2 linked regions of the Lonchura striata genome follow. The protein of the gene in region 2 interacts with the protein of the main gene of each other region in a biochemical or structural test. Links are inferred from orthologs where the notes say so. Each region holds a gene or a part of one and is shown on either strand. Other genes may lie near its edges. The genes, in order: homeobox protein SIX1 and EYA2.

Region 1 (7,399 bases), on a different chromosome or scaffold from region 2:
GAGGAAATGGCCGTCGACTTTTATTATTACTATTATTATCCTAATTTTTAGCCACATCGATGCATTTCACCACCAAAGACGAGAAAAGTGGGGGACGCGGGTCCACGGGAGCCCACTCAGTATCTGCCTCGCACGGCCGCGGTCAGACACAGGCACTTGGTAAAACTCTAATACTGCAGCTTTTGATATATTTTTTTCCCACTCTTTTTTTTTCTTTTTTTTTTTTTTTTTTTTTTTAAGTTTAAACTACATCGAAATCTTTTTGGTAAGGCTAAGTATGAAAAATGTAAACGTAACTTCCCCTCCCTCCTCCCACTCTGCCACAGGGCTCAGTACAGTGATTCTCTCTCTCTGTCCCTTTCCCAGATCCTCGGGGACCGGGCCAGGCAGCAGCAGGGATGTGCCGGCCGACCCTGCCCCACCGCGCCCACGGCGCTGGGATTTGTTTGAATGGAATCGGATCCAGCAGGGGTTGGGGTTTCATTTTCTTTTTTTTTTTTTTTTTCCCCTTTTACATTTTCTTTTACTTTTTTTTTTTTTTTTTGTTTAATTCCCGTTGGGACCAACTCGTTTGAACTCGAAGGGCTGATGAGGGTTATTGCCGCTCTCTGTGTTTGGCTACGTGGAAAAAAAAATAATTAAAAAATCGTGGTGATAGTGGGAGACGCTGAGGGGGAACTGGAGCAAGAGCCGATGTGGGGTTGTGTGAAAAGAGACGAGAGTCCCGTTAACAATCAGCGGGTGACCTGTAAAACCGGGTGCTGTCCTCTATGTACAACCCAGAGCCTCTGTCCCCGAGCAGAACCTCCTCCTCTCCCGATCCTCCGGCGGCCCGCCGAGGGCCTTTAGGATCCCAGATCCACCAGGCTGGACGTGAGGGGTCCCAGCAGCGAGTCCTGGAGCTGGTGGCCTTGGAGGCTGTGCGGGGTCTGGGATGCGGCTAAGCCGCTCAGGGAATAGCCGGAGCTCCTGGCGTGGCTGAGGTTCCCCTGCAAGAGCAGGACCGAGTTCTGATCCGGGCTTTGGGGAGGAGAAAACTCTTCCTCGGAGCTGGACATGAGGGGTTTGCTTCCATCCAGAGGCGAGAGTTGGTTCGGTTTGTTGGTGGCCGCGTTGTTGTTTTCCGTGTTCTCTCTGGGAAAGGCAAAAAAAAAAAAATGTATATATAATCCCACCACGGGGATGTTAGGGCGGGCACGAGGCGGCGGGGATGGGCATTGTGCTAATGCCCACCGTAAATCCTTCGCCTTTAGTTCCAGCGTGGGAGCAGATGCTTCTCAAGGGGAGAAAAATAATCCTAAAAAAATTCATAACGGATCGTCCCTATTCCTTTTATCCCTCCTACAAATAAATACACTGAACAGCCCGGTAATTTAGGTGAGGAGGGAAAACTGGAGGAAGGGATTTTTTTTTTTTTGAGGGGCCGTCTTCCTTTCTTTTTAATTAAAAATGAAAGTACGGCCCGCGGACGAGCTGGGTGCGGGGTTTTCTCCAGGCGGCTCGGTGGGGAGGCAGCTGAAGGAGATGCCCTCCGTGGCTCTCTGCCTCGCCGGGCCGAGCGGCCGCCTCGCACCGAGGCCACCGCGTCGCCTGCCGGGGTGGCCTCGGTACGGGGCGGCGGCTCGGCCCGGCCGGCGCGTCCTCATCCCGATCTCCCTCTGCTTCCCCCCACCTCGCCATCCCGGAGCTGCATCTCTCTCCTCCGAGCTCCGGAGCTATCCTGCCCGACCCGCGGCCACACGCGACCCGGCATCCCGACCGCTTCCCGGAGCCTCCGGGTCCGCATCGCTCCCGGTTTACTCGAGGAGGCAGGCAGCAAACAAAGGCGGCGGAGCGGCCTGGAAGAGGACGGTGGAAGCTCGTTGCTCCCCCAGGGCAGGTGAGGTCGAGTGAAAAACCCATTTGGGTTTCCACGGAAGGGGGAACCGCAACGCGGTTTAGGAGGGAAAAAAAAAAAAAAAAAAAAAAAAAAAAAAAAAAAAAAAAAAAAAAAAAAAGGAAAAAAAAAATAAAAAGGGAGGGGGGTGGATTTGAAGGGAACCGTGTGTTTTCGTCGCTCCTATCCCATCCGGCTCCGGGTACTCGCCGCGTTCCCGGAGTAGCTCCCGGGTTCCCAAACGCCCCCAGCACGGTGGAGCAGGGAGAAAAGCGGAGAACGGAGGGTGGCACGTACCTTTCCTTCGCCTCCGCCGCTCGGTCCCGTTGCCTTCTGTTCTTGAACCAGTTGCTGACCTGGGTGGTGGTGAGACCGGTGGCTTCCGCCAACTCCCGCTTCTCCCGGGGGGACGGGTAGGGGTTGTGGGCGTACCATTCCCGCAGCACGCCCCGGGATTTCTCCTTGAAGCAGTAGCTGGTTTCCTCGCCGTCCCAGATGGTGCGGGGCAAAGGGAATTTTCGGCGGACGCGGTATTTGCCGACGGCGCCCAAGGGTCTGCCCCGCAGCTTCTCGGCTTCCACGTAGTGCGCCTTGAGCCAGAGCTGCTGCAGCTTGGGGTGGTTGTGGGGGGAGAACTGGTGGCTCTCCAGGATCTTGTAGAGCTCGCGGAAGTTGCCGCGGTGGAAGGCCACCACCGCCTTGGCCTTGAGGACACTCTCGTTCTTGTGCAGGTGGTCGCAGGCCGGCAGCGACCAGAGGAACCGGCCCAGCCTCTCCAGGTTCCCCCCTTGCTGCAGCACCTCGCAGACGCAGGCGACCTGCTCCTGCGTGAAGCCAAACGACGGCAGCATCGACATGGCCGAGCGCGGCGGCGGCCGCAGGAGGACGAGGAGAAGGAGGAGGAGGACGAGGAGGAGGCGACGGGCACCCCGCGGGAGCGCGGCGGCGGAGGGGCGGGGGGTAGGCGCCCGCCGGGCCCGGGCCCGGTGCTGATCCCGATCCCGGTGCCGGTGCCGGCCCCAGAGCGGGGAGGCGCTGCGGCAGGCGAGGGCGGTGTGCCGGGCGAGCGGGGATGCTCGTCGCGGCGCCGGGGGGACTTTGTCCCCGCTCCGCCGCCGCCGCGCTTAAAGCGCCCGAGCCCCCGCGCCGCGCTGATTGGGCACCCCCGGCCCGGCCCGGCCCAGCCCGGACAGCCCAGCCCAGCCCAGCCCGGCCCGGCGGGCAGAGCCTCGGCACGGGCGGGCGGGGCCTGGCGGCGGGGACACGGCCCCGGACACGGCCCCGGCCGCGGCTGCGCGTCCCGCCGCCGCCTCTGCGCGGGTGCGGCCCCGGCGGCCGCGGGGGGAGCCCCGCCGCCCGCGCCCCCGGGCGCATCTCCGGGGAAGCCGCTGCCGGCGGGCTCTTGTCTTTCTTTCTTCCATCTTTTTTTTTTCCACCCCAAAACTCCTGCCCCCCGCCCGCCCGCTCGCCGTCCCCTGCCTAGGCAGCCCGTATTTAATTACCTCCGAGCTGGGGATGAATAAATAATGCTTTGGTGAAGCGCTGAATAACGCGCGGGGCCCGTGCGCCCCTTCCTGCCCCTCGCTCTGCCCCGTTCGCCGCGGGGGGAGCCCGGCGGGTCGGGGCAGCTCCGTGTGGATCGCGGGCAGCGGCGCTGCACCCACCGGCGGCGCTTTAAATTAGCCTAATCCTCATTTGCACACCCCCGCTCAAAAGCAATTATTTAAAAAATTAGAAAACAATTAGGCTCCCTAAGCAAAGATAATCTATTGTCAGCAGGGAGGTGAGGACAATGCGGTGAGATAAGGGCAGGGCGCGGGGGGCTGGGAGTGTCTTTATGGCTGTATTTATCTTTGATTAGATAAGTCGAAGCCCATATTTTAAGCACACTCCAGAACGCTTTGGATTCAGGAATGAGTTCGTTCCGCGGGTGCTAAGAACCATCGCGGGGCTCTTTAAAACCTGTTTGTCCTCACTAAGACAGTCGGATTTATTTGACCTACCAAGTCGGATTTATTTGAGTTCACTGCTCCAAGTGAAGAGGAGCCGCTCCCGGCCGCGGGGCGCGGAGCCGGCGGCGCTCCCTGCCCGCAGCCTCTGCCCGCGCCACGACGTGGGAAAGGCCGATATTTTCCTAAATCCGGATTGTTGTTTTTCCCACGTACTTCGCGTCTCGGTGCTGTTTAAATTAAGCCCCTGCCACCCTGTCTGTACAGCGACTGTACTATGTCCGCTGGAGTCAGGGCGCTTCCATATCCCATGACCATGTGTCTGGTAATTTTCCCTTGCCATTTTATTTTAGTACTTATGATGTTGCAGATGAAGTCTTAAAGAGCTGCAATGTCCTCCCAGAAGGAATGTCTACTTGGAACAGATCCTTATTGACAAGGCAGCTGTGTGGGGACCGGAACGGAGCCTTAAACCCGGCTCTAAAATCAACTAATACCCTAAAGTCTGGAGCAAGTGCGCAGAATTATGAGGCATCGGCTCGCCCGCGGCCACGTCCTGGAGGAGCAGCGCCTTGCCCAGCCTGGGGGTCGGTTCCCCCATCCCTTATTTCTATTGTTATTAATTTTAAATTTTATTTTCTTCTTTCTAATGAGGGGCTCAGCTCGGGAAAAGCACGGACCTGAGGGTTTGTGACTTCTGGATGAGGAGGAGAGAAACGCAACGCGGGACTGGGGAAACCCCTGGGCATTGTAACGAGAGCGGGCTTCTCTTGCCCTCACAGTTCTCCTTTTTTTAGTTGTTCTCTTTTTCTTTTTTTCCCTCCTGTAAAAGGCCGCCCAAAACAAACACTGTTCTTGCTGGGAATAAGCAAATTATCCCGATGTGGCCGGCAGAAGAGATGACAGACACGGGCGAGGGCTGAGCGGAGCCTTTCTCGCGATTCTTGAGCGGAACTTTATTCTTCCCTCTCATCAAAATTCACATGAGGAGGGGACAGACCCGCCAGGGTCTACCTGAGAGTTGCTGTAGGCAAGGACCACTGAGCATCAATGTTCGTTAAGGATTCGGGGTTGGTTTTCCTAAAAATTAGGAACCTTTCATTTTGAACCACGGAAAGAGGCAAATGTACTTCCAGAACACCCCATCCCATTTAACCCTTGAAAAATCACAAAAGCAACAACACAAAAGAGAGTTTCGAGCCGCTCAAAAAATAAAAACATAAACAAGGAAGATGCAAATAAGCAAAACGCCACCGAACAAGACGACGGCACAGAGCTGCTGCCGCCGGTCCCTCTCGGTGCTTCCTTTGCCGGCGGAGCAGGAGCAGCCCGGCAGCATCACCCGGCAGCATCCCCCGCTCCCCGCCCGGCCGGAGCTGCCCGGGCTGTCCCCGCCGCTGGGGCCTGGCTCTCCGCGCCCGCGGAGAGGTGCGGCCGAACGAGGGGGCCTCCGCTGCTCACCCCCATTGCCCGGGCACCCATCGGCTCTGTTTGTGCAGGAAATTCATTTATTCCCTTATTTATTCGATGTATTTATACAAAGCAAAGCGGGGATGAAGATGGAGCCCACGCAACACGCTGCGGGCTTTTTCTCGATTTCGCCAGAAAAATCAAAACAAAGCAGAAAAAACCTAAACCGAATACATCCCCCATTTCCTTCCAAGCTTAGAAATAAAGCTCTTCCCCAGTCAAAAGTAAAATTTAATTTTTTTTCTCTAGAAGTACGAGAATCTAGAGGGAACAAATAGCGCAACAAAATAAAATCAGCAGCGGGTTTTTGGGAGCCGCTTCTCGTCGGGATGAGAACCGGGCTGCAGGCTGGGAACCGGCGGGGCAGAAACACAACGCCGCCACTCGCCGAACATTTCGAAGGCGAAATCCAAAACCGACCCATTAAGTCAATGAGGTTTGTGTTGTAGAGGCTCCTTTCCCATCCACTTGCTGTTCTGAAAAATAGATCGCATTTCGTTATCTCGAGTGAGGATCTGCAACGTGATACCGGATCCGCGCCGCCTTCCTCGCCGAATGCGAGGCGCAGGGAGACAGCCAGCTTCCCGGCTTATTCCCCAACAATAAAGGATTTGTATTTTCTTTCTCCCCCTCTCCCCTCCCTCCTTTATTATTCTATTTTTTTAATGAGGAAGAACAAACCCCTCTCCATATGCACCGCTCTTCTCTTGCAGGAGCCTCTGGCCCGGCTCGCCTGCAAACCGGTGCGACCTTTAATTACTTGTTAGTAAATTACCCTCCCGACACCTGTAAAAACAAAGCCGGTGTCCGCGGGGCCGCTCCGCGTCCCTGCCCGGGCCCCGCGCCCCGGGGCTGCCCGGCCAGGGGGTCCCCCCGCACCCAGCGGGGTCAGGCCGGGCCGGGGCTGCCGGAGGAGGGCCGGCCCGGGCCGGGATGCTGGGGCAGGATAAGGATGAGGATAAGGCCTTCCCGATGTGGCCGATCCCCAGGGCACAAAGGGCTCTTTCTTCGCGCACTTACCGGGACATTTTTCAAAGGATTAGAGGTGATCACGCGTTGTTTTCTTCTCTTCGAGGGCCGATACGTCTTTCTGTCCCTGTCCCCGCACCTCCACCCTTATTTCCTCCTGCTTTTGCCATGGGACCCCCAGATCCCGTCGTCCCCCCCCCCCCCCCCCTTCCCTCTTCGCTAATGTACCTCCTGGATGCTGATTCTTTTAAGCTACGAAGAATTTCCTTTTGGGAGGTGAAACCCTCCAGCTCCTCCCGTTCAGAGGAAAGTGCTAGTGATGGTAATACGGGGTGACACTAAATAAACAGTTAAAGCAGGGCTGGAAAGATGGAGTTAATTATCCAGTGAGCTACATTTAAACCGAGACCAGGAGGGGCAGATTTGTTTTGGCGTAGGGAACCGAGAAGGAGACGAGCCACCGAGGTCTCCTTGCTCCTCTTTGGTGGCTCTTTAACTTGTCCTTGCTGTCGCCAGCCCGGGGACCGGGGTCCTTTGGCCCCGGAGGGGGAGTCCCCGGTTGGGACCCCCGAACCGTGGCCCGCCCAGCCCTTGGCCGCAGCGCTGGGAGTCTCTGTGCATGGGAGCAGGCGATTTCAGGGGACTCGGAGGCGATTTTTTTCATGTTTGTTTGCTTTTGTTTCCCAGAAGTTAAATGAATTCTCGTCCGTGCGGCTTGCCAGTGCCTCTGCTCTCAGGTAAGTCTGCCTCCAAGCAGCAGCCCTGCGATGTGCTTTTGTTTTTTAAATTTCCCCTCCTGCTTCTTCCTTCTTTTCCTCCGTTTTTTCCTCCCTTTCTTTTTTTCTCCCTCTTTTTTTTTTTTTTTCCTTTTTTTTTTTTCTTTTTTCCTTTGAGAAGTCTGATATTAATAATCCCCGTATGCCCCGCTTTCCGGGTCATTACGGTACTGCTGGTCTCTAATCAATCCTAATGCGATGGCAATTGGAGTCTCTGATGAATGCATCTCAGGTTTCTTGTAATGGCTCTACCACATTTTCCTGGACCTCCTTCTTTAACCTGAGATGCCAGGGGGACGTCTCCGTTCTCAGCTGCTGATTACTTCAAGATGTTTGGGCTGGTGTGGGGAGAGAGGGAG
Region 2 (7,814 bases):
TTGCATCCTAATTGAAGGGCTTATCCTCACCTGATTAAAACAAGGTGTTTGTTAAACATCATTACTTGAGTTAAGATCTGCAAATAAAGATGAAGTATTGTTTTAAGAATTTGACTGCCATGAAACAATTGTTTTCTGATGGGATCTCTTAATGAACAGTCCCAACCAGGATTTTCAGCAGAAAAGGAAGGGAAAGAGATTTGACAAGTTCTCCCTATTCATATCAAAGCGAGCAAAATGCCAAGAGGTTTGAGTACTTACATTTTTTTTAACAGACATATACTAAAAAAACCAAACTTGTATTTTTTTACTAAATTAAGCCACCAAAAAAGGAGGAAGTATTTAAGCCTGCACAACTTTACTTTAGTATATACCATTGTTTATAATTCTGAATATATGTTTTGTTTCTATTTTTCTGTCCTGTTCAATACAATGTGAAATTTAATGAAAATAACATGATTGTTTATCCAGGAAACTCCTCCATGCACTAATCAAATATACATTCTTACTGCTGTGAAAAATACACAGGTACAATGAAACTATACACTGAGAACGGCAGTACGAGATTTCTTTCCCTACATGGTCTACCAAATGACCCCTCCACTTACAGGACATATTTAAAATCTTCATATTAAAACTGAAGCGTTCTATGGCTTATGAAAAGGATTTGACTTTGTAACTTCATTTAACAGTTTGTCCCAAATAAAAGTTACCCCAGCCAGGCAAAGTTAACTCAAAAATATTTTCTTAGCATTCTAAGAACTTCTGCTAGTTTTCACAGATTTATTAAAGCATTTTTCACTGCATAAGTAATCTTAACAATCATTTCCACAGATTAGGTCTAACAACCTGTGAATTTATTGCAGAAGGAATTTACTGCGAGGAATAATTAGTCTTTAGCGCTGTTCATGCTTGTTCTCCGGCTGAAGACACCTTAAGACCATCTGGTTACTGCAAAATTTGGCACAGGAGGAACAAATCTTACCAAAGAGAATTATAGCTGATTTCAGAATAGCTGTTGTACTACTACACATCATAAATAACAGTTGGGAAGACAGCAGAAAATTAGTAACGTCTTTAATTGTTTTCTTTGTCAGCAGTGTGTACACATACATACTGACACACAAACACAGCCACGCAGAATCCAGCCCGATGCCTCGCAGGCTTGAAGTTAAACATGCGACTAATATTTGCAGGATTAATTGCTAAATTATTAAATTTTCAGGGGAAAAAAAGAGAAAAGCATATTAACCAGCTATGCATAGCAACACAGCAACACATGAGACTCTTTAAGGGATATTCTGAGATCGAGTTCCTTGTGTGAATACCTGAGTTTAATTCCTTTTTATAATTCAAGGCATATCCGCACACACCGAGGAGTTGAATATGAGGCTTATTGTTGGAGGGGGAGTTATCAACAACATTTTTATTTCTCCCTAATGAAGCTTTTCTAATGGAACCTAAGGCTGCCAATGTTGTGAGGTATTTGAAACAGGAACCCGTTTCAGAAATTTCAACCAAATAATGGTGATAAGATTAGCGAGTCATGGGAATCGAGTCTCCACGTACTATTTTAAAAGAAAATGAGCTGAGGGGAGTGGGCTAAGCAAAGTAAAGCAAAACAAATTGATGAGTGTAAAACCAAAAGCATACACAACTTGTTATTTAGCCAAATGTTTTGACCTGTTGGTGGGTGAGTAGAAGAGGCAAAAGAGTTACGTGGACAATTTGACTCTGTAACTACACAATTCAATTTTACACCATACATTTAGATTTTATTTTTTTTTTTAATTAAGGGTTTTAAGTTAGAACAATTAAGTCAAGTTATCAGCTGCTCTACCAATCAAGTGAATTTTCACAACATGCTTAAAAAGTTTCTGGAATGTCTCCAAAGCTGTAAGTACTCCTTATTTTCAAGGCATTTGTACTGCAAGTCTTTCCTACTTGCTTGTGTTACATCTGATGCCTTCAAACCAATGCTTTCAAAGCAGAAATAAAAATTCAGTTTTATTAAGGAATGGAAACAATTTCCACACATTAAAAAAAAAAAAAAAAAAAAAAAAAAAGATGAGAAAGAATTTATCCTGTCTGAAGCAACAAGTAACAAAACAATGCAATGCTCAATGTATGAAACTATCTAAGCAGCATTAGTTTAGACACAGAATTACTAGTTTAAATGTGTGCCATGTTTTGTGGACCAGATTGTCCTAATACACACAGACGTGGACTAGCATGAAGAAATTTAGACATGCTTTCTCAATAAACTGGGGGAGAAGAAAGAGGGGGACCCTTCCACGGATGGCATTGCAGAGAGCAGAAGTTCTCAGTAAATTAATAAAGTCCACAAGAGAGACTAAACAATAAACCATTTCTGCCACCGCTTTTAACGGCGCTCAGGGATGCGTGTATTTGATATTGCGCTGAACAAAATTTCTGTTAGTATTTGATATAGACCAATAAACTGTTTATTGGTTCACTACATGCGTTTTAGCAATCACAACTTTATACAAAAGAATACATCATTATTTGAAATGTCTGAACAACAGTAGCTGTATACCATGAATAATTTCCTTCAGAGGCCGTTCACTGGGCTCAAGCACAATTTAACACTCAGAAAAGTTTACTTGAACTGCATAAATCACATACAAGTTTTCCTCAAGGAAGCAGCCGCGGGAAAGCGCAGTGGCGCATTTTATTTAAACGCACTCTTCAGCGATTAAAATCATTAATAAGCGGGGCTCGCTGGACGGTAAAACCGAACCGCGCGCTGCGCAGCAATTAACTCCCTGCGCTAATTCTGGGTCGCGGCTCCGCACGCAGGACCCGCCGCTGCCGCGGAGCCGCTCCGCGCCCGCGCTCCGCCGGAGCCGCCCCGCCGGGCTCCGGGGCTCCGCGCTCCCCGCCCCGCGCCCGCGGAGCCCCGCCGGGCACCCGCCCCCGCGGGCGCGCAGCACCCCTCCCCACTCACCGGCGGTGCAGCGCGGAGCCGCGGCGCTGCGGAGTGTGCGCGCCCGCCGCCGGCGCAGTGAGCATGTGCGAGGCGGGCGCGCATGCCCGCGGAAGGGAGCGGAGCGGAGCGGGGCGGCGGCTCCGCGCCCCGCGCTGCGCCCCGGGCGCGCCCACCGCCCCCTCCCCGCCGCGCCTCCCGCCGGAGCCGCCCGCGGGCTGCGCGGGGCGCGGAGCGCAGCGCCGCGGCCGCTCCGCCGCACCGCGCGGGGGGTTTGCCCTCGGCTCCGTGCCCCGCTGCCCGCCCGGCACGCCCGGCACACCCGGCCCTCCGCCCCCCGCGGCAGCCCGACCCCGGCGCCGCCGGCCCCTCGCAGCGCCGCGGGGCTGCCCCCGTGCCGCCGCCGTCGGGGCGCACCTACCGCACGCCTGGGGCCGCGGCGCGTCCCGGCGCCCGCAGCGCCGCGCTGCCCGCGGTGCCGGGCGGAGGAGGAGCCTCCCGCGGCTCCCGGGGCCGCCCGGCAGCCCCCGCTACTGTCACGGAACTGCCCGAGCCTCCCGGGGCCGCCCGGCAGCCCCCGCTACTGTCACGGAGCTGCCCGCGGCTCCCGGGGCCGCCCGGCAGCCCCCGCTACTGTCACGGAGCTGCCCGAGCCTCCCGCGCTCCCGGGGCCGCCCGGCAGCCCCCGCTACTGTCACGGAGGTACCCGCGCCGCGGGCAGCGCGGAGCCGCTGCTCCCGGGCGCGGGCCGGGCAGCGCTCGTACCGGCGGCAGGTACGCGCCGGCCGCGCTTGCTCCCGCCCGTGGCTATGGTTTGATGTTGGTGCTATCAGCCTCCATCGAGCTGCTGAATTTCTTTCTTTTTGAAAAAAATTCTTTCCGTAGCGCTTGGACGCTTGAATACCATGCGAATACCACCTTGTCTGTAGCCTCTGTTTCCATGAAAACAGTCGCTTTCACTACAGTCCTTGTGTTAAGGGTTTCTAGTGACAATTTTTAAATATCAGTTTAAAAGGAATGGCTTTTGTTGACGTCTATTTTGTCTTAACACGCACAGCCCCACAGAGCCATGGGTCCTGCAGGCACAGCATCACTCACACACGGCGCCTTCTGCACTCAGAGAGCATCACACGGCTCCTGGCTCCCCAGAGGGCGAAAACCTGCCCATAGTTCCCATCACCTCCAACAACACAGAATGGATTTGTGGCCGTACAGAGGTGCTGTCCCATCTCTCATATCAGCATAAAAACAGAGGCAGTCTGGCAAGTGCCCCTTGTGCTCCTGCCTGATGTGCTGGATGCCTCAATCAGGCACCTCATCTGCTTCTTTGCACATCCAAGAGAGCGGCAGGAGGCACCTTCAGATGGTTTATGCTGGGAAGATGGAGCTGGGACATTCCACTGCGTGCCCCTTCCCTGAATCCCCCTTGTGCTGTAACCCCACAAACAGCTTCCCCTTGCTCCTACTGGCCTCATCCCTGCTCTGGTACCAGACAGTTTCCCCCGTCCGCCGGCATACCTGCTCGCTGGGGATGCAGCCTGACCACAGCAGCATTGCAGTGTTTCATTTCCACACCCTGCTCTTCCTCCTTATTTCACCTCCTCACCAGTCTGGGACAGACTGCAGTCCTCCAGTTCTGTCTCTCCAGTACTGCAGAGGCATCGGGGGAGACCTGCAATTCCTTGTCCTGACGGCTTTTATTACACCTAGCCCTTTCCTCAGGAAGGAGATACCCCGTGAACCGCAGTGGAAAAGCCAAAGGAGCACAAAGGGTGTTGAGTTCAGGGTTTGAACAAGCTGCAGCCCACTCATGGATTTAACTCAAAATTTTGACAATGGAACAAAAACATCATTGCAACGAGACAGCTGTTTTTACTATCAAAATCTCTCAGATCAATTTGACTGCAAAGTGTGTTCCTACAATCCAAAGGAGACAAAGCTCCTAGCATCAGTTTGGAGCTGGCAGGCTTCCTAGCATGAGCTACCTCCCGCCAGCCTAGAAAAACCAAAGCTCTTTCAGTTGTTATTCTCCATCAGTTCTCAGCACTAACCCCCTGATTTCCCCATGGATTATCTGCAGTTCTGAGTTTACACTGCTCTCACATTAAACTCTGAGCAATCACTGGCTGGGGGGGTTTCCTTGCTGCCTTTCTCACCTGTAATTGTGGTTCTGGTGACAATTCTCTGAAGTACAAGAAAGTCCTTGGATCCATCTTGAAAATAAAACCTTTCCTTCCTCAACCTGCCGTGCCCAAAAGCCTGATTGCCACATTAGCTCCTTTTGAAGCTGGTTTTAACAAGTAAATTCATATCTAAAAATGCTTTGTTTGCAAAATTCTCCCAACCCCTGATTTCACAACATATTTGAATATATGCTTAGTTTTATGCATGTGAATAGGCTTACAACGATCAATACAATTATTTACCTAAGTGCTTAAAGTCAGGCAGGTATTTAAGAATTAGTATTGTTTGTGGTAATGCCACGGCAAGCCAGGCAGGGACCAGGACCTCATTGTTTGTTCAGCAACCTGCACACAAAAAGACACTCCTTGTCCCTTTCAGTATAAATAATTTCTGTAAGTTGTGAGTAACTTGTGAATCAGTGCCAGAAACACCTTTCTTGAGCTAGTGAGTAAACATTATTTGTCTACACTAATATCCTTCTTATTTACCAAAAACATTGTATGCAATATTTAGAAAAGTAATAAAGGCACAGTGGGAAAAGGGTGAGCAAAGAGGAAGATAAAGGATATTTTTTCATTTAGGTTTTTAAGTATTTTCATCATTGTTGTTAGTATCCAGGAAAATACCTATAGATGTTGAAAGCCATTTAGAAAGGCAAGGGAATAATATGGCTTCTACCCCATCAGTGGGACTGTGGGTTGGTGTGCATGGGTCAGACAGGCTGCCAGGTGAGAGACAAGTCCTTTTAGTTGGCTTGATAAAAGCTTCTATTTTGTCAAGCTGGGCCATCATCAGCCATACAATGCCTAGGATTTCTCAGACCAGTAGAACTTTTTTTATCAAAAAACAAGGCAGGTTTAGGAGGTGGTTTGCTTGACTTGTTACTCTCTGCTCGTTGCCACGTATCTTGAAGGCTAAATGGAAACGGTGCAGAAAGCTCCACACAGTCACCAAATGGAAATGCTCCGAATCACTGGGCTGGGTGCCAGTGTCCTGCACAGATTTGAGAGATAATGGTCCTCCTTTGGCACCTGGGCAGGCAGACATCCCTGTCCTGAGGGAGCATGGGAAGCTGTCTTCTGCCAGACCCTGCCATAGGGTGGGAGCACCTCAGCCTCTCTGAGGAGAAGGTGAAGAGCTAGATCCCAAATTTTAGTTACTATGGAAATACATTTCCCTTGAGGAAATACTACCAGTTTCTGCTGTTGACCTCATTGTCAAAATGAAGAGAAATACATGAGTACAAACAACTGTTTCTGTTTTTAAAAACAAGCAATTAGCCAGCATTGAACTTCATCACCTTCCTTCACAATTAAGATGTAATGTCACCCTGTGTCACAAACCAAGGTGAGAAATCCTCAAAAAGAATGCAGAGGATTTATTGGGGTACTGAATATGGTTAACCCAGAGGATAGAAACACCCTGAGTCAGAAATCGCTTTACAAAGTGTAAGAATTTTAAAATAATGCATTTTGGACTCTTCCTAATTGTTCTCTTGTCCTTGAGTTCATGTTTTCAATTTCTGTTTGCAACCACAATGCTGAGTAACTTAGTTGTCTTCTAAAATTAAAACTGAGAATCTCACATTTGCATGTTTTCACATGATGCCAGAACACAGGCTTTGTGGGGAAAAAAACAAAAACAAACCCCAAACACCCCAACCCTCACATTTTAGAAGACTTTCAACAAAATTGCGAAAGTTGGCAACCATATTTCCTAACACAATATTTTGTGGATTCCAGTGAAATTTCATTCTCAAGGCTAATGGTTGCTTTCTCTCTGGTAAATGTCCTGAATTGCTGCTGCTGTTATTGTTAGAACATTGTTAATTTATGCAGTAATTTAAAAACAGAGGAGAGGTACTCTGTCCTCAAGTAATTACAGAATAAAGAACATAATCTAGAGACTATTTTAAATTTCTTTGCTGTACAGATAAACAGAATTATGTAAAAATGACCTATTTCACATATTAGTGCTCAGGCCTGCAAGACACCAAGGGTCTGATTCTGGAAATACTTTAAATATATTTAATTTAAATGCCACCAGACTGCTCCCAGTGCAATAAAGCATTTCATATGGGACTGTGCCATCCAAGGGGGCAGTGCTGTACTTGGTTGCATTTTTGGTGCCAAAAGGCTCTGCTCTTTGTAGGATGGATTCTTCTGTGGGCAACAAGAGCTGTGTCAGGATCTGAGTGCTAACATCTCACATTCAGAACCAGAGCCATCAATGCTGAGATTATTCTTCTTATTTCTAAGAACTTGCTTGCAAATTCTCAGGCCACAGCATTTAACAAATTTCTCTCAGTCTTTGGTATTGATGATAAGCCAATATGTGTTGTTTAGCCTGTTTCATCAACATTCAGAACATTTGTAACTGATAAACAAAGTGCATGTTAGCTATTAAAGCTCAAAATTAGGCAGGCAGTAAAAAGTAATCTGAGAGCAGGACTGTAGCTACTGATACTATTGAAGCTGGTCTTAAAACATATGGTTGCTAATCATTGACACAATGCACAAAAATAAAACCCTGCAACTGAGGAGTGCCTGATCTATTCACCACTAAATGATCAAATATGCCTGTTTGTTTTTTAGTTTCATGTCCCCTTCCTCTTTCTGGTTTTCTAAAGTAGAAGCTTGCTATTTAATATTAGCTGAAGATTTGGCCCTTTGTACTGGCTGCA

The links.
Region 1: the proteins of EYA2 (region 2) and homeobox protein SIX1 form a complex in vitro, tested with the Homo sapiens proteins (2 studies listed by IntAct, with this or other methods). The link is inferred for Lonchura striata from reciprocal best matches to the Homo sapiens genes EYA2 and SIX1.

Annotation. Positions count from the first base shown.
Region 1 is NC_134608.1:5,722,333-5,729,731, forward strand, and holds homeobox protein SIX1, read right to left. Parts: upstream 2,882-7,399; 5' UTR 2,734-2,881; coding exon 2,174-2,733; intron 1,135-2,173; coding exon 846-1,134; 3' UTR 556-845; downstream 1-555. UniProt on the Homo sapiens protein: Transcription factor that is involved in the regulation of cell proliferation, apoptosis and embryonic development. Plays an important role in the development of several organs, including kidney, muscle and inner ear.
Region 2 is NC_134619.1:8,725,387-8,733,200, forward strand, and holds the start of EYA2 (protein phosphatase EYA2), read right to left. Parts: upstream 3,051-7,814; 5' UTR 3,034-3,050; coding exon 2,969-3,033; intron 1-2,968. UniProt on the Homo sapiens protein: Functions both as protein phosphatase and as transcriptional coactivator for SIX1, and probably also for SIX2, SIX4 and SIX5.